Linked DNA regions of Saccharomyces cerevisiae S288C. The gene in region 1 interacts genetically with each later gene. Each region holds a gene or a part of one and is shown in the gene's direction. Other genes may lie near its edges.

Region 1 (8,011 bases):
AGGTTTATACCGTTGTGCAAAAACTGCTGCTAGGATAACTGAACAGTTGTTTCTGTGGCAGATGTTGTGAATAGGCGCCTTTATTTTAAGGGTCCAGTGATCCGCGATGTGAATAAATACGCGCGCCTCTCTCGAAGGAACCTTCTGGGGCTGCTTCTGTCGATAAGAAAGCTTGGCAAAGGCCTTACTTGGCATTTAAGTAAAGCCTTTGCTTTACTGCTTCTTTCCCGCCTTTTTGGTGCATTGGGTTAATTGATGAATATGCGTAAAATTTAAATCAGACTATGAAAACATATATAACAACTATTACAAGAGAGGTGGTAGTCTACTTGAAGAGGCGCGCCAGAAGAAAACGGTGGTAAGTACGAAGTTATGTGTAGACTAACTTGCTTGTTAAAAAGTATTTGGTCAGCCGTGCCAAACAGTTCGAACTATCAGAACTTCTGACGGTTCACTGATGTACAAAAGTTGAGAGCCATTTTCGTAACCAGCTTTTTGTCCCACGCTCAGAAGGATGCATTGGTACGGTCACTTCGATATTCCTTCTTTGTGAGTGGAGCCAGAGCTTTTTATTAGTTTTTAGTTCAGTTGCTGTGCGAGACTCACGAACAAGTAGCAGCCGGCATGGTTTAGATGGTTCTGGCACGGTAAGCTGAGGAGCGCTATTATTATTGCGGGTACTACAGTCATTAGAAGATGGAATGGATTCCTTGCATATGTCTATCAGTGCCTGAAACGCCCTCTCAATGAGGGAGGTGTCAGGACTCAAAATTAAGGATTGTTCGGCGGGATGCGGTAAGCCTTCGTATACTAGGTTGTTGGACGGAAAAATCTGATACGGCTTGATCTGAATGTTAGGATCGACCTTACTGTCTAAAGTATCGAGAGTGATGTTTCCTTTTCGGTTTAAAGACTTCTTCTCGCCGACATCGAGAGAAAAATGAATGTGATCAAGAACCAGATCTATTTCTCTTTGTGTGTTTTTCCAGGGACAAGAAATGGAGTAGGGCTCAATCCTCTGGAAACCTTCGTATTTGTATTGGTATGAATAAAAACGGCACTCTGCTTCCTCCATAAGTTGGTCGTAGCTGGGCATTGTATCGAAGTTGAAGGGTCTCTTCCAGAATGGAATACTTTTATTTGAAGGGTTGTAGTACCTTCTGGGCTCAGATTGTTCGTCTAAAAGCAGGTATTGAACAGCTATCATCTTGCGCTCAAATTTAAATTCGAGGGAATCGTAGTCAATGTTCTTTGTACTTCTCAGAAAGAGTGGACAGTATTTTCCCATTTTGCTTTCAAACCAGTTCTGTGGCCTGTCAAGGTACTGTTGCATGTATGAAGGAACTACAGTAGTCAACGTGTGGTTAGACTGGGAAAATTCCGCTGTGGACACGACGCTGCAGCTTATATTTTGATTGCAGGGAGCAGGAGCGCAGGCATCTTGTTTAGATTTTCGGCTTGGATAATGTTTGTGGTGATCAGTGGAATTTGTTGGGCAGTAAATTTCAGTTGGAATGATAGATTCATTCGTCTCTTTTGTTCTGGAGTCCTTGGTGCGGCGGAAATCAAAGCAAGTCACTTCTGCGTTAAGCGATGCGAAATTGCCGTCTGGAAATGACGATATGTGTGGAGAATGAGGAGGATTCCATGACGAATAAACTGATGAGGATGTGCTAACAGATGAGGTTAGTGAGGGTACCGATTCGTTGTTTTCTGATGCAGAGTCTGTTGTGGGAGATGTGGTAGCGTTATTTCTTTGCACAAGAGAAGATGGGAGCATAGCACGGTTGTGGGAGGAGGAAGAAAACATCACGTTGCAAGTATCGTTTACGGAGTGGGATAAGAGGTAGGAGGTTGTCATAGCGGTGCTTTCTTCCTGATGCATGGCAGAAGAAGTTGGCAGTAATTCGTTTATTATGGTGACATTGTCGTGATTAGAAAGGACTGTCTCTTTTACCATTGCCTCGGGTATGTTTTTTGGCGCCTGCCTTGAACTTACTCCAGAACAAGCCTCAGCAGAAGAATGACCGGAATGATTCCTCTTATACACGTTCCAGAGTGGAGCATTCTTGACATCATAAAAAAAGTTGCTGACAGGATCTTTGGACTGGTTGACGTTAAGTGGTTCCGTAGCTGGTCTGATGTTTTCTTGTACGGTATCACTGACGGCTGAGAAACCTTCAGAGGAACCGTTTTCGGGAACAGACTTGGAGGATTGCAAATTAAGCCATTGAAAGTCTAGCCCAACCTTGTTGCAGAAGGCCTTGAACTCCTGGAAAGATGTAGACATTATGTGGGCGAAAAACAAAATTAGACCAACGCTTTAGCAAATTTTTTCAACCTCAAATTGATATTTGAAGATTAGATCGGATGGTTTTTTTTCCTGTGGTGTAGGCCAAGCTTAAACAAGGTTTTAAGTGAAAGTGGAAATAATTGTGATAAACATGCGGAAAGAGTGCCAGCCTTAAATAATTCCGCATTGTTGCTATGTCGTTTTGTTTTTGTTTTTGTTTTCGTCTTATTGGTATTTGTTCATTTTACGACCACAAAGGATCCAGGGCTTCTACTTGCACAGGGAGGGTTGCTTGGTTAATACAATGCAAAGGTCAGAGATATTAAGATTTGTGAAGGGTGCATTCAATGAGTTTTTCCTTTAATGTGCCCTAGAAAGGAAGTAGTACGAACATTTCTCAGTCGGAGTTTGCCGGAAATTCGAATGACAGTGTAAGTTGATTTTTGTGGCACAGAGATAATGAGCGGTGGTTCTGGCACACATTTGTGACGTTGGTTTGATAGTGTGGAGGGAGGGTGAAAAACAGATAACAATGGTCTCTTGGCCCAGTTGGTTAAGGCACCGTGCTAATAACGCGGGGATCAGCGGTTCGATCCCGCTAGAGACCATTCTTTTTTTACATTTCTCGCAATGTGATTTATTTTGCTTACCCTTCCCACTGCCGTTACAAGGGAGGTGAACGAAGAGGCTTGTTAGCATAAGGTTTACGCGTTGCGGTTGTAAGCACAATGTTCTTACTAAACCTCTGAAGATTAATTATCCTAACGTATACTAATTAATTCAAAGAGAATATTTACTCGTTCTCTTTTCATCATTTTGTAACATAATTCTTTACGTATTTTCACTTCGTACTTTTTTCAACTTTTTTTGCCTTCGCTTCTTTTTTGTTGTAATTTTTCAATTTTTTTTTTTCATCGTTGGCCGTCTTTCCTTGTCCTTCATTTTCCTCTCGTAATAATCATTCAACTACGGTAAAGCATGCCTTTCCTTTTTTCTACTCTGCAGTTATTTTCATAATATCTACTGTTTCCATTTCGTGCTTTAAGTTAGAGTTTAATCTTCCCTTCTATCATCTTAATAGCAGGTTCATAATAAGAAGATTACCACATCTACTCTTTGTTCGATTCCAATGTCTGAAAATAACGAAGAACAACATCAACAACAACAACAACAGCAACCTGTTGCCGTCGAAACTCCCTCGGCAGTTGAAGCTCCAGCATCAGCAGATCCTTCTTCTGAACAGAGCGTCGCTGTCGAAGGCAATTCTGAACAAGCTGAAGACAATCAGGGTGAAAATGATCCTTCCGTAGTTCCTGCTAATGCTATTACCGGTGGTAGGGAAACTTCCGATAGAGTTTTATATGTTGGTAACCTAGACAAAGCTATCACCGAAGACATTTTAAAGCAATATTTCCAAGTTGGCGGACCAATTGCTAACATCAAAATCATGATCGATAAGAATAATAAGAACGTCAATTACGCTTTTGTTGAATACCATCAATCTCACGATGCCAATATTGCCTTACAAACATTGAACGGCAAACAAATTGAAAACAACATTGTCAAAATCAACTGGGCCTTCCAATCCCAACAGAGTTCCTCCGATGATACATTTAACTTGTTTGTCGGTGATTTGAATGTTAATGTTGATGACGAAACTTTAAGGAATGCCTTCAAAGACTTCCCATCCTACTTGAGTGGTCATGTTATGTGGGACATGCAAACTGGTAGTTCAAGAGGTTACGGTTTTGTTTCCTTTACTTCTCAAGATGATGCACAAAATGCCATGGACAGCATGCAAGGTCAAGATTTGAATGGTAGACCGCTAAGAATCAACTGGGCTGCTAAGCGTGATAACAATAACAATAATAATTATCAACAGCGTCGTAACTACGGTAACAACAACCGTGGTGGTTTCCGTCAATATAACAGTAACAACAATAACAACATGAATATGGGGATGAATATGAACATGAATATGAATATGAACAACAGCAGGGGCATGCCACCAAGTTCAATGGGAATGCCAATTGGCGCCATGCCATTACCATCTCAAGGCCAACCCCAACAATCCCAGACCATTGGTTTACCTCCTCAAGTAAATCCTCAAGCTGTTGACCACATCATTAGAAGTGCCCCACCAAGAGTTACTACTGCCTATATCGGTAATATTCCGCACTTTGCCACTGAAGCTGATTTAATTCCGTTGTTCCAGAACTTCGGTTTTATTTTAGATTTCAAGCACTATCCAGAAAAGGGCTGTTGCTTCATAAAGTATGACACTCATGAACAGGCCGCTGTTTGTATTGTTGCCTTGGCAAACTTCCCATTTCAAGGCAGAAACTTGAGAACCGGTTGGGGTAAGGAAAGATCAAATTTTATGCCACAGCAGCAGCAACAGGGCGGTCAGCCACTTATAATGAATGACCAACAACAACCGGTTATGTCTGAGCAACAACAGCAACAGCAGCAACAGCAGCAACAACAATAAATATTATGAAGAAAAGTGGAATGAAACAAAAAGAAAGAATAAAGAGAGGCAACCTACAAATCCCAAGATAAAATAAAAAAAGAACGACAAGAATCCATTCATTATATTATACTATTTTTAAAAAAAAAATTACTACGAAAAAGGGAGAGAAAAAGAAGAAGAAACTCAATTTACTATTGCTCGAAAAATAAAAGGGCCTATAAACTTACTCTATTTTTTTAGTTTTTCTGTGTCTTATTTCCTTCCTTCGTCACTGTTTAATTTTTAATACTATTATTTTCCTTTAAAATGTGAAAGTCATTGCTAATAGTGTGATAAAAATAAAGAACGTATTTTCTGAAGGCTTTCTTTATTATATTTCCTTTTTCCTTTCTTACCCTATTTTTTTTAAACATCCATCCCACTGTATTTTGTCGAGTCCATATATATAATTTTTGTTTTTATTTTTTACAACTTTTGTTAAGTATATAAAAATGCTACCTAGCGTTATGGAGACATGTCAGTCTTGAGTCCAGGCACATAAAGGCAACAGCCACTACCACTGCGCACCCGTGACGCTGCTCCAACGTTCTCATTAAGTACGGAACTGTGTTTCGAACAAAAGAATGGCTGTTAAGACCAAAAAAAAGGCAGCTTAACAGGAACCCGGCTGGTTCCACAGGACTTTTCTTTCTTTAGGGAAAGGTTGTGAAAATGACAACCAAAAAGTCGCGACGCCAAATATCAAAAACCTAGATGATATTACTTCGTCTGCCAAACACCTCCTTTCCCTCTATCCAGCCCTTATTTTTTTTCCAAGAGCTTCATATGCACGCCCGAATCATTTCGAATCGCGTACGTGGCAGGTTGTGGCTGGCATCTTTCCCAAAAGGAAACGGACCAATACCACGCATCCCCGAGCTCTTGGTCTTTCTTTATCTTGCATAGCCCAAAAAATAAAATGGGGCGGGAAAAAGGGGGCATATCAGAGCATCGGGAACTTCTTTCAATGCAATATATATGGCACATATAAAAAATTCTGGCTTCATTATGTTAGGTGCAGAGATTCCGTTTAGACCAATTGAACGGTAACCAGAAGGTAATCTTAAATATACAAACAAAAAACAAGGTCCATAATGACAAAGAATTTCATCGTCACTTTGAAAAAGAACACTCCAGATGTGGAAGCTAAGAAGTTCTTGGATTCAGTTCATCACGCAGGTGGCTCTATTGTACACGAATTCGACATCATTAAAGGGTACACCATCAAGGTACCAGATGTTCTCCACTTGAACAAGTTGAAGGAAAAGCACAATGATGTCATCGAGAACGTCGAAGAAGACAAAGAAGTTCATACAAATTGATTCCTGAGATAAACGCAAACACTTTTTTACTCGGAAATTTTCTCTCCCCGATTGTAAATTTATTTCTCGTCTACTATAATAATTCACCAAAAAACAGCAGAGCACGTCCTATATATATATATATATATATATATATATATACATATATATATACGAATATATTTATGACAGTCTAAATCGTTGCTCCTGTTCAATTTTAACGCTCTTTTATAACTGCTGTGGCGCCATTTCTTTGGCATCTAAGATGTGTCTCGGGACTTTCTTTTTCTGGTCATCTTGCTTTCCTTGCCTTGTCATTAACAGAGCTAAACTGTGTTGAGGAAGTGGTCTTTTAAATTTTCAAGGTCGCGGCCCGTGCATTGCGCGGCTGGATGTCTTTTAGGGGAGCGATGCGCTTGCACAAAAGAATAGCCTTGATTTCCGCTATTAATGGGTATATTCTTCTAACAATTTGAGTTTTTTCTCCACTTGTTTCTTTCTTCTTTCTCTTTTCCATTCACATTTTGCTTTACTTTTCTGGATAATATATATGTGCATATATATATATCCATTTAAATATATATATATATATATCTTTTGTCCTCCTCTCCAGTTACTTTTGCGCCAGAAATTCCTTCTTCTTTTCAATCTAATAGAGAAGGGTAGATAGTGTGGTGCAAAAAAAGAGCCTTTTAAACCAAAAATAAATAAAAAAAAGGAATCACAAAATGTCAGATTCACAACAATCAATCACCGTTCTAGAAGAGCTTTTCCGAAAGTTGGAAACTGCTACTTCAGAAACAAGAGAGGGTATTTCTTCGGAGCTTTCCTCATTTTTAAACGGGAACATCATCGAGCATGACGTTCCCGAAGTTTTTTTTGATGAATTTCAAAAAGCTATCCAGAGTAAACAAAAGGCGCTCAACACGCTGGGTGCGGTGGCTTACATAGCAAATGAAACTAATCTATCACCTTCTGTTGAACCGTACATAGTTGCGACGGTCCCTTCTGTATGCAGTAAAGCTGGTAGTAAAGATAATGATGTTCAACTTGCGGCAACAAAGGCCCTCAAAGCCATCGCTAGTGCTGTTAACCCGGTTGCCGTTAAAGCACTCTTACCTCATTTGATTCATTCGCTGGAAACTAGCAACAAGTGGAAAGAGAAGGTTGCTGTTCTCGAAGTAATCTCTGTATTGGTAGATGCCGCTAAAGAACAGATTGCCTTAAGAATGCCGGAACTAATTCCCGTTCTTTCGGAATCCATGTGGGACACTAAGAAAGGAGTTAAGGAGGCGGCAACGACAACCATCACAAAGGCAACTGAAACTGTTGATAATAAGGATATTGAGAGATTTATTCCAAAATTAATCGAATGTATTGCAAATCCAAATGAGGTGCCTGAAACCGTTCATCTCTTGGGTGCAACTACTTTTGTAGCCGAAGTAACTCCAGCGACTTTGTCTATTATGGTTCCTTTATTGAGCAGAGGTTTAGCCGAGAGAGAAACCTCTATAAAACGTAAAGCTGCGGTTATTATCGATAATATGTGTAAATTGGTTGAAGACCCGCAAGTTGTTGCTCCATTCTTAGGTAAACTACTACCAGGGCTAAAGAACAATTTTGCTACTATTGCTGATCCTGAAGCGCGTGAAGTTACATTAAAAGCTTTAAAAACCCTGAGACGTGTGGGTAATGTCGGGGAAGATGATGTGTTACCAGAAATATCGCATGCTGGTGATGTTTCCACAACACTGGGCGTCATCAAGGAATTACTGGAACCTGAAAAAGTGGCCCCAAGGTTCACCATTGTGGTTGAGTACATAGCCGCGATTGCCGCAAATCTAATTGATGAAAGGATCATTGATCAGCAAACGTGGTTTACACATGTTACACCTTATATGACTA
Region 2 (8,187 bases), on another chromosome or scaffold:
TGCAATTGACCCCTGCAAATGGGCTGAAGCCCTTCGGAAGTCAGGTCATGGAGGTGGCCAGAAGCATGATAAAGAACGAAGGCATCCGGTCCTTTTGGAAGGGTAACATACCCGGTTCTTTGCTGTACGTTACCTATGGCTCAGCGCAGTTTAGTTCATACTCCCTTTTTAATAGATATTTAACTCCATTTGGACTAGAGGCGCGCTTACATAGTCTTGTTGTCGGAGCCTTTGCTGGCATAACCAGTTCCATCGTTTCCTACCCGTTCGATGTTTTACGGACCCGACTAGTTGCCAACAACCAGATGCACTCAATGAGCATCACGAGAGAAGTGCGTGATATCTGGAAACTAGAAGGTCTCCCCGGATTTTTCAAGGGCTCCATCGCGTCAATGACAACCATAACTCTAACCGCATCTATAATGTTCGGAACATACGAAACAATCAGGATATACTGTGACGAAAACGAAAAAACGACCGCCGCGCATAAAAAATGGGAACTGGCTACTTTAAATCACAGCGCTGGTACCATTGGCGGCGTCATTGCTAAGATCATTACTTTCCCCCTCGAAACGATCCGTAGGCGAATGCAGTTCATGAATTCGAAGCATCTGGAAAAGTTCTCCCGTCATTCGTCTGTATACGGTTCTTATAAAGGGTACGGATTCGCAAGAATCGGTTTACAGATTTTGAAACAAGAAGGTGTGAGTTCGCTTTACAGAGGTATTCTGGTGGCCCTTTCCAAGACAATACCCACCACTTTTGTGAGTTTCTGGGGGTATGAAACTGCCATCCATTATTTGCGGATGTACTAAAGTTTCCAATCTTTTTTGTCACATGTACACACTCATATACATATACGAAATCATCATATCTTATATTCTTCACTGACAAAGATCGGTAGCCGCCCGGTTTTCCATTCCGATTACGGCCTGACTCAGTCGCGCCGTCTTCCTCTAATAACAAAAAATCGAAAAAAAAAGAGGAATCTCGTTGCTAGCGATCTGACGCCAACCCTTTTTCCGGTTTTTCTTAGTTGCCTGCTGCCCCGCACCGGTTTTTCTTCTTTTTTTTATCTTTTTTTCCGCTCAGTCAGCGGGGAAGGGAGAGAAGGAAACAATGAATCGGATCTTCCGATGGAACCAGCGTCAGGGACCACTACATCTGCTTGTTGTTTCAACACAACTTACATCTGCGCAAGCACACGGACTAGGAGTAACAAGAAGTAGTAAAATTGAAGAAAGCAAGGACTGCTGCAATCTCTGCACCCTTGTGGTAGCCACCCTTCTTAGATGTGGCATACTTACACTTTTTTTTTTCTTTTTTTTTTTTTTTTTTCGCCTTTTCTCATTTCTTGGCTCCTTAATAGCCAAGAAATGAGAAACGTGGGAGATGTTCAACCTCGCCTGATCCTACCAAAAAAAAAAATCGCAAAAATAAGCGGGAAAAAATGTCAGATTCTAAGTTTCAAACCTCCGGAGATGATTCATCATCACCATCACCGCCGATTTGTTGGATTGCGTGTTTACGATCCATCATTTTTCTTGTAAGCGTTTAGCTTTCTGTCATCTCTTTATCTTTTTTCCTATTTTTTTTTTTCACTAGTTTTTGCACTGAATAACACCTCCCCTTACTCATAAATGTGCTAGCTGAATCCATATTTCCTAGTCTTGCATTCCCTTTCCCTTCAAACAGCGCTGCCCTTCTTCATCTTCATTGTCGAAAATAACCATTCTTCTCCTATCTTGAAATCTAAAAATAACGCTACTACAGAAAGCTTTTTTCACAGGAACTAGGGCGAAGCGTACAAGAATAAGGAAAGACAGCGTAGTTACAAACTAAACTATCTATACTATAACGACCGAAAATTTCTGTTTTTTAACACCTCTTCTACCAAACACAACGAGAGTGCATTAGAAATAGGACAAAACTGGGCTCAAACTAATGTCTGATTACTTTAGTTCCAGACCTTCGCAAACGCTCACGCCGATGGGCAATAAGCCATCTGGCGGTGGTGGCGGCGATGACGCCTCCTCCATCCACTCGAAGAGCTCGCAGTACTTGATGGACATCTTACCTGATTCGATGACCTTGAACGAAAGTGTTTCCTCCATAGTGGCAAACAATCAGGCAAAGGAGTTTATTTTGCCTGAAACAGATGAGAGATCTCCCTACTTCATAAACGTCCCTATACCAAAGGCTCAGCCAACCTCTACTACGGAAACGAAGAAGCCCCTTGCAGGTGATGAAGCTATCGATGGGCAGTTTGTTAAGGAGTATCCCACCGACATCCTTGTAGACAGGTTTTATAAATGGAAAAAAATTCTGAAAGGGTTAGTGATTTACTTGAGGGAAGTCGCGTATGCGCAAGAACAGTTCGCACGGATCAATTACCAACTGAAAGGATCTGTGAAATTTCCATTTTTGACTGATATTGATGAAACCACAAATACCATTACGGATCCATTCACAACGGCTCCTAGAGGCCCTAAGAAAGCGCAGCCTGCGCAGAAGAAAGTTGGCCTGACTGACAGCGAACAATTTCAGATGCAAATGCAACAGGAACAGCAGGAAAATGCAGTGCAGGCTCCCACAGATGAAAGTAAAATGAGTTTGGCGCCTCATGAATACAAGCCTGTCCAGACCACAGAGTCGGACAATACATCTGCCGCATCCGGTTTTGTTAAGTTCGGTTCAGGCTCGATTCAAGACATCCAGGTCATTTTGAAGAAGTACCATCTTTCGTTGGCTAACCAGCAATTTAAGATCTCTAAAGAGATTACGTCCACCGTCATTCCTAAATTGGAGGAATTGAGAAAAGATTTAAGATATAAAATTACGGAAATTAAGGACCTTCATGGTGATTTCAAAACAAACATCGGAGCACATATTCAGCTAACAAGTCAACTATTGAAAAAATACATCGCAGCTGTAAAATTCATGAACGCGCATGGTATTGGCAACGATAGAGCATCTCCTACTAATAAGAAGCCACATAAATTGGATCCAAAACATGATCCATATCTTTTGAAACTGCAACTAGACTTACAACTCAAACGTCAAGTTGCCGAAGAAACTTACTTGCAAGAAGCGTTCATCAATTTACAGAGTTCAGGTTTGCAATTAGAAAAAATTATATACACCAAAATCCAGCATGCTTTGTTGCGTTATTCTGCTTTAATTGACTCCGAAGCTCGTCTAATGATCAAAAATATGTGCCAAGAACTACAACATGGTATAATATCAAAGCCTCCTGCATTTGAATGGGATAATTTTGTCACACAGCATCCGTCCTGTCTACTCAATTGGAAATCCAACGATCCTATACCACCACCAAGAAAAGTTTCCGACGTTATTTATCCCCACATGAAATCCCCACTGGCCAAGTGTATTAAGGCAGGTTATTTTTTGAAGAAATCGGAATTGTTGCCCACTTACCACCAAGGATATTTTGTTCTAACATCAAACTATATTCATGAATTCCAGAGTAGCGATTTTTATAACCTATCTTCTTCTACCCCTAACTCCACGAAGTCTTCAGCTTATTCTTCTTCCGTTTCCATTGCAGACACTTATGCCAATGCTAATAATGCCAAAGCTAACAATCATCATCGCCAGGCTAGTGATGTACATAACAGCAGTACGACAACTGGTGGTACAGCTGGTGCAAATGGTATTCGCGGTATTCGCAAAAAGAGCTATTTGGCACCGATTATGAGTATTCCGCTAAATGATTGTACCTTAAAGGATGCATCTTCCACCAAATTTGTTCTTGTAGGTAAACCCACTCTTAATGAAAACGCTGATGTTAGAAAATCTAGCTCTAGCACTTATTTATCTGGCTCTTCACAAGCGTCTTTACCAAAATATGGCCACGAGACTGCAAAAATATTTTCAAAAGCCCCATTCCACAAGTTTTTGAAGGGAAGTAAGCCCAAAAATAAGAATACGAAATCAAGTGAACTGGACCAATTTTACGCTGCAGCTCAAAAGGAATCGAACAATTATGTGACTTGGACCTTTAAAATAGTATCTCCAGAGCCTTCTGAAGAGGAATTGAAACATTTTAAACGTTGGGTCCAAGATTTGAAAAATTTAACGAGCTTCAATGACACTAAAGATAGAATTAAGTTTATCGAAGACCGTGTGATGAAATCACACCGATTCAAGGCGGGACATATGTCAAGAAACAGCGTGAACATAGGTTCCCATACACCTTGTTTAACAGATAGCACATTCACATTACAAGACGGTACTACGACGTCCGTCAACCTAAAGGGCAGGGCGGAGAAACCTCAGTATATTCATATTCAGAACAATTCACTAGCAGATTTTGATGGAAATGGTTTTAGATCCAAGGTTAATACACCTGCTATTGACGATTATGGCAATTTGATTACGGTGGAAAGAAGACCTGCACAATCTCCGCACCAATACTCTGACTACATGGCCACTTCAGGTAACACAACTCCTTCTTATTCATCGGGCTCAAGACCTCAAAGCATGTATAATGGGTATAACCCGGCTGTATCAATAACGAGTAATGGGATGATGCTCCAACAATCAACAGCAAATAATAATACTAATCCAACAACTAATTTGCGCCACCAAAGAAATATTTCACAAACAAGTTCCCTACCTGGATTTTCATACACATCCCTATCCCTACCAGTGAATTCTCCAGGTAGCTCTAATTCAGAATCCAGCTCAGGCGGTTATTTTGCCATTCCGCTTCATGGGAACAACAACAATAATAATTACACCCAGAGAAACTCTGAAGGCTCTAGCCCATGTTATAATGACGACCAAATACGACAACAACAGCAACCTTTACAAATGCAACCTTTATCAAGAACTTCAAGTTCAAGTGTTAATGTCACAGCGATGAGAAGTACATCTGCAGGTAATTCAATTACAGCGAACGCTCCCGTTGTACCTAAGGTGATGGTCAATAACCAAAATGTTAAAACTGTTGCTGCCGATCAGTCTGCTACAGCACCTTCTTCACCTACCATGAATTCGTCCGTCACAACGATCAACCGCGAATCACCATACCAAACCTTAAAGAAAACGAACAGCACAGGCAATGTTCCTTGTTTGACTGCTGAAAAGACTCATGCGCACCCTGCTTTCTATAAACGGGGCAATAATAGCGCCCAAAATTTGACTACCTCTAGTTCAACAGCTTCTAGGGTGCATCCTATCCGAAAGCACAAGAAAAACGTATCATTTAGTTCTTTGAATAGTTTAATGTTTTCAAAAAAGGGTGCAAATCACGGTGGTAATCTAATGACTAACCAATTTATGAGTGGTGGAATTCAAGAAGATGATGGTGATTCAACTAATAATGATACTATAAAGCTAAACCAGTCGATTTATTCTTAATTGTTACGCCTTAACTTTTGTTCTCTTTTGAGAAACAGCCTGTATGGTTCGCCGTTTATTTTCTAAGCACCGTTTTTTATTCATATTTTTATAATGCAACTCCTATAGAATATAGATGTTTCGTGTTTTTAATTCCTGCTATGACTTTGTGTCAATGGTATGTGAACTAACAACTGTGTGGTAGTTTGGGATGGTACGTAAAGGTGTTCGTGATTATATAAGCAATCTTAAAATATTTGTATCGCACCATGAGGTGCCCAATAATGAAATGAAAATTACTATTATGAACTATACTAAAAAGATGAAACTTTTTTATCAATCCCAGGTTCTTTTACTTATTATTTTTGGATATAAGAACAAAATCGGATTTCCCATGCTTTTTCTCAATGCCTATATGAAATCTTTTCGAAACAGCCAGTACATGTAACAATTATGATACGAACTTGATCGGTAACCCATAAATAACAGGAGCTGCGCCGTTCAAGTAACGTAGATGGCATACACCTCTAGATTTAGAGACGGCATATGAAACAGATAGGCTATTACCATTCAAATCGTCAGTATTACAGCGAAATCCCATCTTTTCAAAAAGTTCCTCGCTAAATTTATCAATATCTTTGTCAGTTACATCCCACAGATTACCTAGTACCATAGGGCATCCTCCCAGCAAATAAGTATAGATTGTTCCAGTAGGTTCTAACTTGCCGTAATATTTCATCGCTGCTGAAGAGCAGCCCAGTAAAAAGCTGGGGGCAATTTTGGTGCATTTCTTAATCTCCTTACTCCTTACATATTGTTCACCTCCGCCATGCCCTATATAAACGAATAAGTTAGAATTTTGCAGCATTTTCAAAAGTGTTTCCTCTTCCGGCTTCTCGTTCATCACTAATTGAGAGGAAGGTTTTGCATCGATTATTTTTTGGAACATACCCTTGAATTTAGATTCAGTCCTGGACAAATCTCCGTTCGGATTTAATATCATACTAATGTTGTCCTCAATAGTTACTTGAAGGGGTAGTTGGTAATGGAAACGCGATAAAAGTTTATTCAGACAAACATAGGACGGAACACGTGTGATAGACAAATCTTTCAAAAATGAAAGACACTCCCAAGGGAATAAATGGCATGAACTGCTAACGACTAAAAATGTATGAAATATACTATTAGTTGTCATAGTTGCCCTATATTTCTTTATTTGCTCTTCTAACTGCACGTGAAGCATGCTGAAATCAATTTCGTCGTAAGCATTTTCTTCACCATGGAAGAGAAGAATATCAAGAACAAAGTATATCAGGTCTTCCATCTTCGAAAGAAAATCGATTTCTTGCGGATTAAGTTTCAAGAACAATTCGATTACCCAATCTTCAACTTTTATAAACATTGCCGGATTGCCATAGAGTTTTCTGGAAGGAAGATTTTGATGCAGAATTTCGTAAAATTTATCTTTAAATTTTTCAAATAACGAGTTGTCGACTACTTCAGGGCTAAAAAACCCTTGAACGCCATTGAACCAACTATTTTCAATGTTATTCAACAATTGTTGCATTCTTTTATCCAAATCATATCTTGTGGTCCACCAAGATTTTCTTTCTTCTCTTGTTTTAATCTTGTTGGTAACTTCCACTGACGTCGTTTGGTTGCTTTCATTGATAATAGAAAGTAGTTTTTTTGTAGCCTCCGGAAATGAGAGATGAACTTCGTCGAGGTCTCTTGAATTAGATCGTATTAGCGGTAGCCTTAAATGCGTCCTTCTCTTACGTCGCGGTTCTAATTTGGATAGAAGTAAATTTCCAGTTATGGGACAGAAGTCAATAGTTATAACATTAATATTAAGGTTGCTCTCCATTAAGTCCTTCTGGGCGGCAGATACTCTAATACTCTCTGTAATTGTGGATATATTGTTCGGAGCTATTAGTGATGAAACGCGAAATTCTCGGTAATTTTTATTATCAATATTATTCAATACCTTATCGAATAACAAAGGCATATGCCTTGGCAAGTCAGTTAGCGAAAAATTAGTTATCAAACTACTCTCAGCATTATGGATACTAGTTATGTTTGAAAGGATAGTCAGAGTTAATGAAGAAAGGGAGGAAATTTTGGACAGTTCGTGATTATCTAATGTGTCTAGTTTCAAACTCTCCAAAAGTTCTTTCATCTGTTTTAATTTACTAATAGCAGCAATTCTATCAAATTTCTGTCTTATATTCTTACCTCTAGGCGTCATGCTCGACGATCTTGGTGAATCGCAAAGCTTCAATCCTGTACTATGCTTGGAAGGAGTTTTTAAAATGTTGTTGGGCATCGTGCTAGGAATAACAGGCAGAGAAGAGGGAATCCCAAGGGTAGATTCAAACATACCTTTGAAGAAAGGATCTTCCTCCAATTGGCTCATTACTTTTTGCCACATATTGTGTACTCTATTGATTACATTTTTGGGCATATATTCGGACAGACAAATGCTGTCGTCAATATCCTTACCCAAGTGAAGCTTCCACAAATTAGGTAGGAATGTTTTTTCTAGCTGGTCACCGAAATATAGGACCAACGACTGCTCTAACTTTACAAATTCCTTATTATCATACAGAAACATTGTCAAACTTGTAATGTCTGCCTCAGCATCAAGATAATCAAATGCCTTATTGGCTTTTCCCAAAGTTATATTTTGAAGACAGGTTTGCTCTGTAATCATATAGTATCTGTGAAGAAAATGCAGACATCTGTAGACGATAATAGGTTCCTCTAAGTCAGAAATAATTCTAGACAGTTCTTTACTGTAGAACTCACAGTCTCTGGCAGAAC
Region 3 (6,210 bases), on another chromosome or scaffold:
TCATTCTCCTTTTTCCTGGAAGATTGAGTAGCCGTGGTCAACAAAATAGACTGTGGATAGTTTCTACGTTCAGAACCTAGTGTATCTGGAATGACATCTAATGTCAAGCATGGCCATGGCATATTGACATTATGTAGCATTTCATAAACAGTGGGATCAGCCTCAAGGACTTCATCTGGCCCTAATGGACGAGACATATGGGGTAAGTAAAGCTCCTGGATCTTTTCTTTGTTGCCTTCGGATTGGTCCTTTTGTACTAAAGTTTCAGCTTCTTCTTGCTTTTTCCTAAGGTCATCTTCGTCATTAATCTCATCATCGCCATCAATTTCAATAATTTCACCATCACTATCAAATTCATCACTCAATTGTTCTTCTAGGTCATTCTTGGGAGCATCTTGCTCTTCAGAGGCGGGAATAGCAGGAACAGAGTGAGATTCTGTTTTAGCAGAGACCACTCTATCTTGTTCCTCGTTGACCTCGATAGACCTTTTCGACATTATGGTGCTATTTCCGTGTATATGAAAACGGAGAGTAGGTGATATAACTATTTACCTACAAATTCAAACAACTACAATCCCTATAAGAAATGATCATCTCATCGCTAAATTCAGTTGGATTTTATTTTCTGTATTTTTCGCTGAAAGGAAAAAAATTTTCACGGCTCGAACGAAAAAAGAAACGTGATCACGATGTAAGTACAAATGGTACTCTATTTTGAAGCGTCTACGTTATGTAGATGATATCATACTTCCAGTTGCATATCGTCAGTAACCTCATCTTTAGACTGTTTGTTCTTCTTCTTTTGGTTTTTTTTCGCTACTTTCCTTAGCTTTTCTTCTTCAATAAGATTTGATCTATTCGACTCAATATAGTTTACAAAAAAATCACCATTTTTGGTCTTCTTTGCTTCGTTAAGTGTAGCTTCCACATTATTAAATAGTTCTACCCTTGTCTTGGCCAGTCTGTTTAGTATTTTGTTATCTCGTGCTCCGCATTCCATTTTTCTACATTGTCTTAGAGACTTAAATGATACTTCACCGGGATTCATATACCTGTTTTTTCTCAAGTTATGCCATGGTGTTATCAAGATGGTGCATTGTGGCATTTTGTTTCCTTGAATGGATTCTGATTTACATAGCTGCAGACAGTCACATATCACTTCTTGCGGTATGTCATCGATTGTTTTTTCATTTGGGCGTAACTTTAAATAAACATGACCACTTGAGTACTTATCCGCGTGAAACCAAACATAGTTTAACTCCCTATAGCTCCATTTGATAAGTAGATCGTTTTCAAACTTATCTTTGCCCATCACAATTTGGTAAGGTGTTGAATACTCAGTTGGTTTTGATTCATAGAAATACACCATTGTTATTGAAAAGTTGAATTTCAATTGAGCCTTATAATTCTATTCGCTTACTTTCTAAATTTTAAGTATAAGGCAGTCCTCTGGTCTACAGAGTTGTTTTGTTTTTTTATCCAAGTTCTTTGTTTCAATCTTATTGTAGTTTTTTTCCATTAAAATATTAAAGCCTAGGATAATCTATATCCTAAACTAAATATAAATTAAGAGTATAAAAGATGAAAGTAAATAGCATCTAGCATTCAGAAAAAATAAGAAGTCTCTTTTCAAATGATTGATCGAGCACAACGAATGTTTTCAAACCACTGTTAATTTTTTTATAGATGTAATGACTACTTATATGTTCTACGATGTGATTTTGTAGGAATAAAATAAAATTCAGTTTACCGTCTGCATATTCATAAACACTTAAATGACTGTTAAAGTATTCAGTATTTTAAATAATAATAACATAAATTATTAATACATACTTAAATACGAAGCCCATTTTGGTGGGTTCCTGAAAGAATATCAACTTTTTTTTACTAATAGAGAATTTCGTTACAAGGTGGGCGGCTAACTTATAAAAAGCAAAGGAGAAGGTTTTAACATATCGTCAAGTTAAGTTTGAAAGAGAGAACTAAAATAAAAAAAAAGAGAAAAATGTACGAGTACTGCTCAGTTGTAATAAAGAAATACTCCAAGTATACAATTCCCTCCTTCGCTCCAAATGGTTTTCAATCAATGCTTGAGCCTCCTCAGATAGACAAGTGGCAACACCTTTCCGCTAACTGCACTCTCCAATTTCGGGTTCTTCTAATGGACTCTAGACAAATTCTGATCAATGTGGTTCTCAATAATTCAACACTTCTCGAAAATATTCGCCTGCCGCTGGGGGATAATCAAGATTTAATACAATTTTCATGTAAAAGCCCCATAATCTCTTGTAAATATATCTCCGAAGAATTCGGACCCAGAATGTTAAGGAGGTTTCAGATGAATTTGCCAAATGACGTTGAGTTCAACAGGACTGTAGTTTCTTTAAAGAACCTTAATTTTGTTTTAAGGACAGCTAGGACATCAATAGCCCAGAGTACAATAACAAGCCAGGTGCAAGGCAATAATAACGGTACAAAGGTCTGTTTCACAGAAGGTCCAAAAGTTAGTAGCTACACAAATCCGAACACGCAATTTCAAACTCAAAACATGATTATGGATTTCAGTCAACGTTATCAGGAAGAATCTGAAAGAGAGTCAAATAATCGTTCAAATATAACTTTACCACACGACAGCATTCAAATAGCTCAACAAATATGGCCAAACACGGATTTAAATGTAGTACAATCTTCACAAGACCTCAACACTCCAATGGCTACGCAAACTGTTTTGGGTCGTCCTGAGTCGCTAATTGTACAGCCATTGGAGGTTTCTCAATCTCCACCAAACACTACCAACTGCCTTCCTAATGCAGAAAACAAAAAGAAAAAAGTCGACACCACTTCTGATTTTACTTCAAGAAAGGAGATTGCTCTGTGTAAAACTGGTTTATTAGAAACTATTCATATACCAAAGGAAAGGGAAAGTCAGATGCAAAGCGTCACTGGTTTAGATGCAACACCAACGATTATATGGAGCCCCGGGAAAGACAACACGGCGAAGAAAAATACCAGTAATAAGAAAAATATTGATGATAAACTAACAAACCCCCAAAAATCTGGAAATACACATACCCCTGATAGAAATAAAGAAGTGCTACCTAACGGCACACTTAATGAAACGAGGAAAGAAGCATCGCCAAGCGAAGGATTAACGATAAGAGTTAAAAACGTTAATCGGAATGCGTCAAGAAAAATATCTAAGCGGCTAATCAAGGAAAAGTTGAAAGACGAAGAATTCATGAAATGGGTATGTATGCATTTGCAAGAAACTGAGCTGTTTCCCCCTCTTATCCACTCATTTTCTCTGACTTGACAAAGAAATACTAACTAACAACTTTTGCCACTACAAATATGAATGAAAAGGTTAATAAGGTTGAAACGGTTCTCAATAAAATGTTCGAAAAGTGAACCCTTTTTTTGCAATTCCTTTTTACACTAGCCACGAAGTAAAATGGAAAAGTAAACCCGAGTTTCGGCAATATCGCTAAGCAAGAAGAGCAAGCTCGTTTAAGTAAGCCTTTATGAAAAAAAAACAAAATATAAAGCATTATAAAAATTGAATCACATCGCAAATCTGCAATATACTTGGAAGTGTTTATAGCAAAGTGTGGTATAGAAAAAGAACCAAAGGCCGGTATGTCGTTAAAGGATAGGTATCTAAATCTCGAATTAAAATTAATAAATAAACTACAGGAGTTGCCATATGTTCATCAATTTATCCATGATCGAATAAGTGGTAGGATAACTCTCTTTTTGATAGTGGTTGGTACGCTTGCATTTTTTAACGAACTGTATATAACGATCGAAATGAGTCTTCTACAAAAGAACACATCAGAAGAACTAGAGCGTGGAAGAATCGATGAAAGTCTGAAGCTTCATCGGATGTTGGTGAGTGATGAATATCACGGTAAAGAATACAAAGACGAGAAAAGCGGTATTGTTATTGAAGAGTTCGAAGATCGCGATAAGTTTTTTGCAAAACCTGTGTTTGTATCAGAATTGGATGTCGAATGTAATGTTATTGTAGATGGGAAAGAACTTCTGTCCACCCCATTAAAATTTCATGTTGAATTTTCTCCAGAGGATTATGAAAATGAAAAAAGACCTGAGTTTGGTACTACCTTGCGTGTATTGAGGCTGAGACTTTACCACTACTTTAAAGATTGCGAAATATATCGCGATATAATTAAGAATGAGGGCGGTGAAGGGGCAAGAAAGTTTACGATTTCCAACGGTGTCAAAATTTACAATCATAAAGATGAACTACTGCCATTGAATATCGATGATGTTCAATTATGTTTCCTGAAGATTGATACGGGAAACACGATAAAATGCGAATTCATACTATGAAAGCTTCCAAAAAAAAAAAAGAAAAATCAATTGCTAAATGCATACATGCAGGTAGGCACACACACACACACACACACACACTCACTCACACATGCACACGCACACACACATATATAAATATATACGTACTATGTATGTCAGTTTTCGACCCTAGGAACCCCTATTTGGTTGTGATGAAGCTGATTTTCGCACCAACACCACAGTTTCATTATCTGCGTCAATCTTGGTTCATAGGGAAATTCGGAAGAGTAGTAATTATTGAATTCTAAACCTTTTTCCTTTCCATTTGAAGAGGAAAGCAATTCAGAAGTTTGATTCCAGTAATTTTTATTTTCTAAGTTATGAAAAGTTGTCGCCGCTGAACCTGTGCCAACATTTCCATCCCTTTGATTTAGCCAAACTGAATTAGCAGCAGCCGTGACCTCGTTGCTTGACATCTTTTCGTTGATAGGTTGGTCAGACGAAATGTGAGTTATTTTTGTACCATTTGAACCATTGACGAGATTGTTGTTATACACCGTGAAGTTCTGCGTAATTATTTTCTTGTCGGAATTTAACAAATCTGGAAATTTGGAATTATTATTGCTGATCTCAAATTGAATCCTTGGATGAATAAACTTCAGCAGCTTCTCATTAACCAGATCTGCTATCTTAGATCTTAGAGATATCGAGTACAGATTTTGTAACGATTTGGGCAGCTTAATGCTGCCGCTGTCCGCCGAATCTGACAAGGGGAAAAGCAGCAGAGTCATTGCTAATTCTAACTCTTGCATCTTTTTGACACTTGACGAAGCCTTTATTGCAAGTTTATTTTGAGAATACTGAATTAGATTGAGTATAAAGTCGTTGGAATCCTTGGTGATGTTCTCCTGTTGATGGTGACTTCTTATCATCTCGATCAAATTCAGTAACAGCAGTTTGAAGTGTAAATCTCCATCTATGTCAAACTGCTGCTGCTGCTGCTGCTGCTGCCTGTCAGTTCTACCCGTATAACTTCCCGTAGCATTGAAAGTCTCTTCCAGCACCTCCAGCCCGAAGATAGAGTTTATCTCCTCCATCGCCTCATTGATACGCCCCAGCTTAATAAGATGTTTGATATGGAAACGCTCCTTGATCTTGTACAAATCATTGAAAACCGCAATGTCTTTGTTGTTCCGTATAAATCCCAGCTCCTTGGCCATCCTAATGCTCGAGTCTTCATATGCCATAGAAACAAAGTAGTTCAACAGAAGCCGTGGCAGTGTGGGCTCTATGGGTGTGGTCTGTATGGTAGCAAATCCCTCGTCCTGCGAGCCGCCACTGCTGTTGGGCTGAATTTTCAGCGGATAATGTATTGTCTTATTTGCATATAGCTCGCCCATGGCAGAATACTTGGCCACCTGCTCCTTCCATTCTTCCTTCGTGAAGCACTTCTTTCCATACGTAAAGTCTTTCCCACCATTCTTGCCTTGGCCGCTGCAAGATCCGCTCTTCGTGGTCTCGTTACTAAGAGTAGATATAGTCATTTCTATTTGTTACCACACACAAATATATCTTCATCCGGCTGATATTTGTCTCTACTGCCCCTTTGCTTGCAATTTAATGACCAAATTACACATGTTAGCTTCAAGAAAAATGATGTACCATCAAAATGTCTCCTGCAACGAACCGGGGCACCGCGCCGGCAGAGTCAGGAAAGCGAGATCGACACTGATAGTGATAAACAGCAACACAATGGAGCGATTACCATTCACTCGGAACGGATCCGGACAACAGTCAAATAAACTCCGGGATCCCAAAAAGGGCCGTACACACAAACCCAAGCCGAGCGAAAAACACAAAAAAAATAAAACAGGGAAAAAAGGAGCGCAAGAGAAAACG

What was found.
Region 2: mutations in PUB1 (region 1) and ASK10 together harm fitness more than expected from each alone (negative genetic interaction), as found in Saccharomyces cerevisiae (2 studies listed by BioGRID).
Region 3: mutations in PUB1 (region 1) and REC114 together harm fitness more than expected from each alone (negative genetic interaction), as found in Saccharomyces cerevisiae (2 studies listed by BioGRID).

What each region holds. Positions count from the first base shown.
Region 1 is NC_001146.8:599,485-607,495, forward strand, and holds PUB1 (Pub1p), read left to right. Parts: upstream 1-3,422; coding exon 3,423-4,784; downstream 4,785-8,011. Other genes in the region: YNL018C (uncharacterized protein), read right to left, coding at 452-2,290; PBI2 (Pbi2p), read left to right, coding at 5,900-6,127; HEF3 (translation elongation factor EF-3), read left to right, coding at 6,835-8,011. UniProt on the Saccharomyces cerevisiae protein: May be associated with hnRNA within the nucleus and remains associated during nucleocytoplasmic mRNA transport, once the proteins are in the cytoplasm, disassembly of PUB1-RNA complexes may occur prior to PAB1 binding and formation of a translationally competent RNP complex.
Region 2 is NC_001139.9:676,751-684,937, forward strand, and holds ASK10 (Ask10p), read left to right. Parts: upstream 1-1,944; coding exon 1,945-5,385; downstream 5,386-8,187. Other genes in the region: thiamine transporter TPC1, read left to right, coding at 1-815; ESP1 (separase), read right to left, coding at 5,816-8,187. UniProt on the Saccharomyces cerevisiae protein: Positive regulator of FPS1 glycerol channel required for the glycerol efflux. As a component of the RNA polymerase II holoenzyme, is required for SSN8 destruction in response to oxidative stress but not heat shock.
Region 3 is NC_001145.3:534,202-540,411, forward strand, and holds REC114 (Rec114p), read left to right. Parts: upstream 1-2,005; coding exon 2,006-3,247; intron 3,248-3,363; coding exon 3,364-3,408; downstream 3,409-6,210. Other genes in the region: ribosome biosynthesis protein RRB1, read right to left, coding at 1-497; JLP2 (Jlp2p), read right to left, coding at 743-1,369; ERG29 (Erg29p), read left to right, coding at 3,637-4,350; glucose-induced degradation complex subunit GID8, read right to left, coding at 4,488-5,855. UniProt on the Saccharomyces cerevisiae protein: Required for the production of double-strand breaks (DSBs) in meiotic recombination initiation; not required for mitosis. Plays a role in activation of the DSB nuclease SPO11 at recombination hotspots.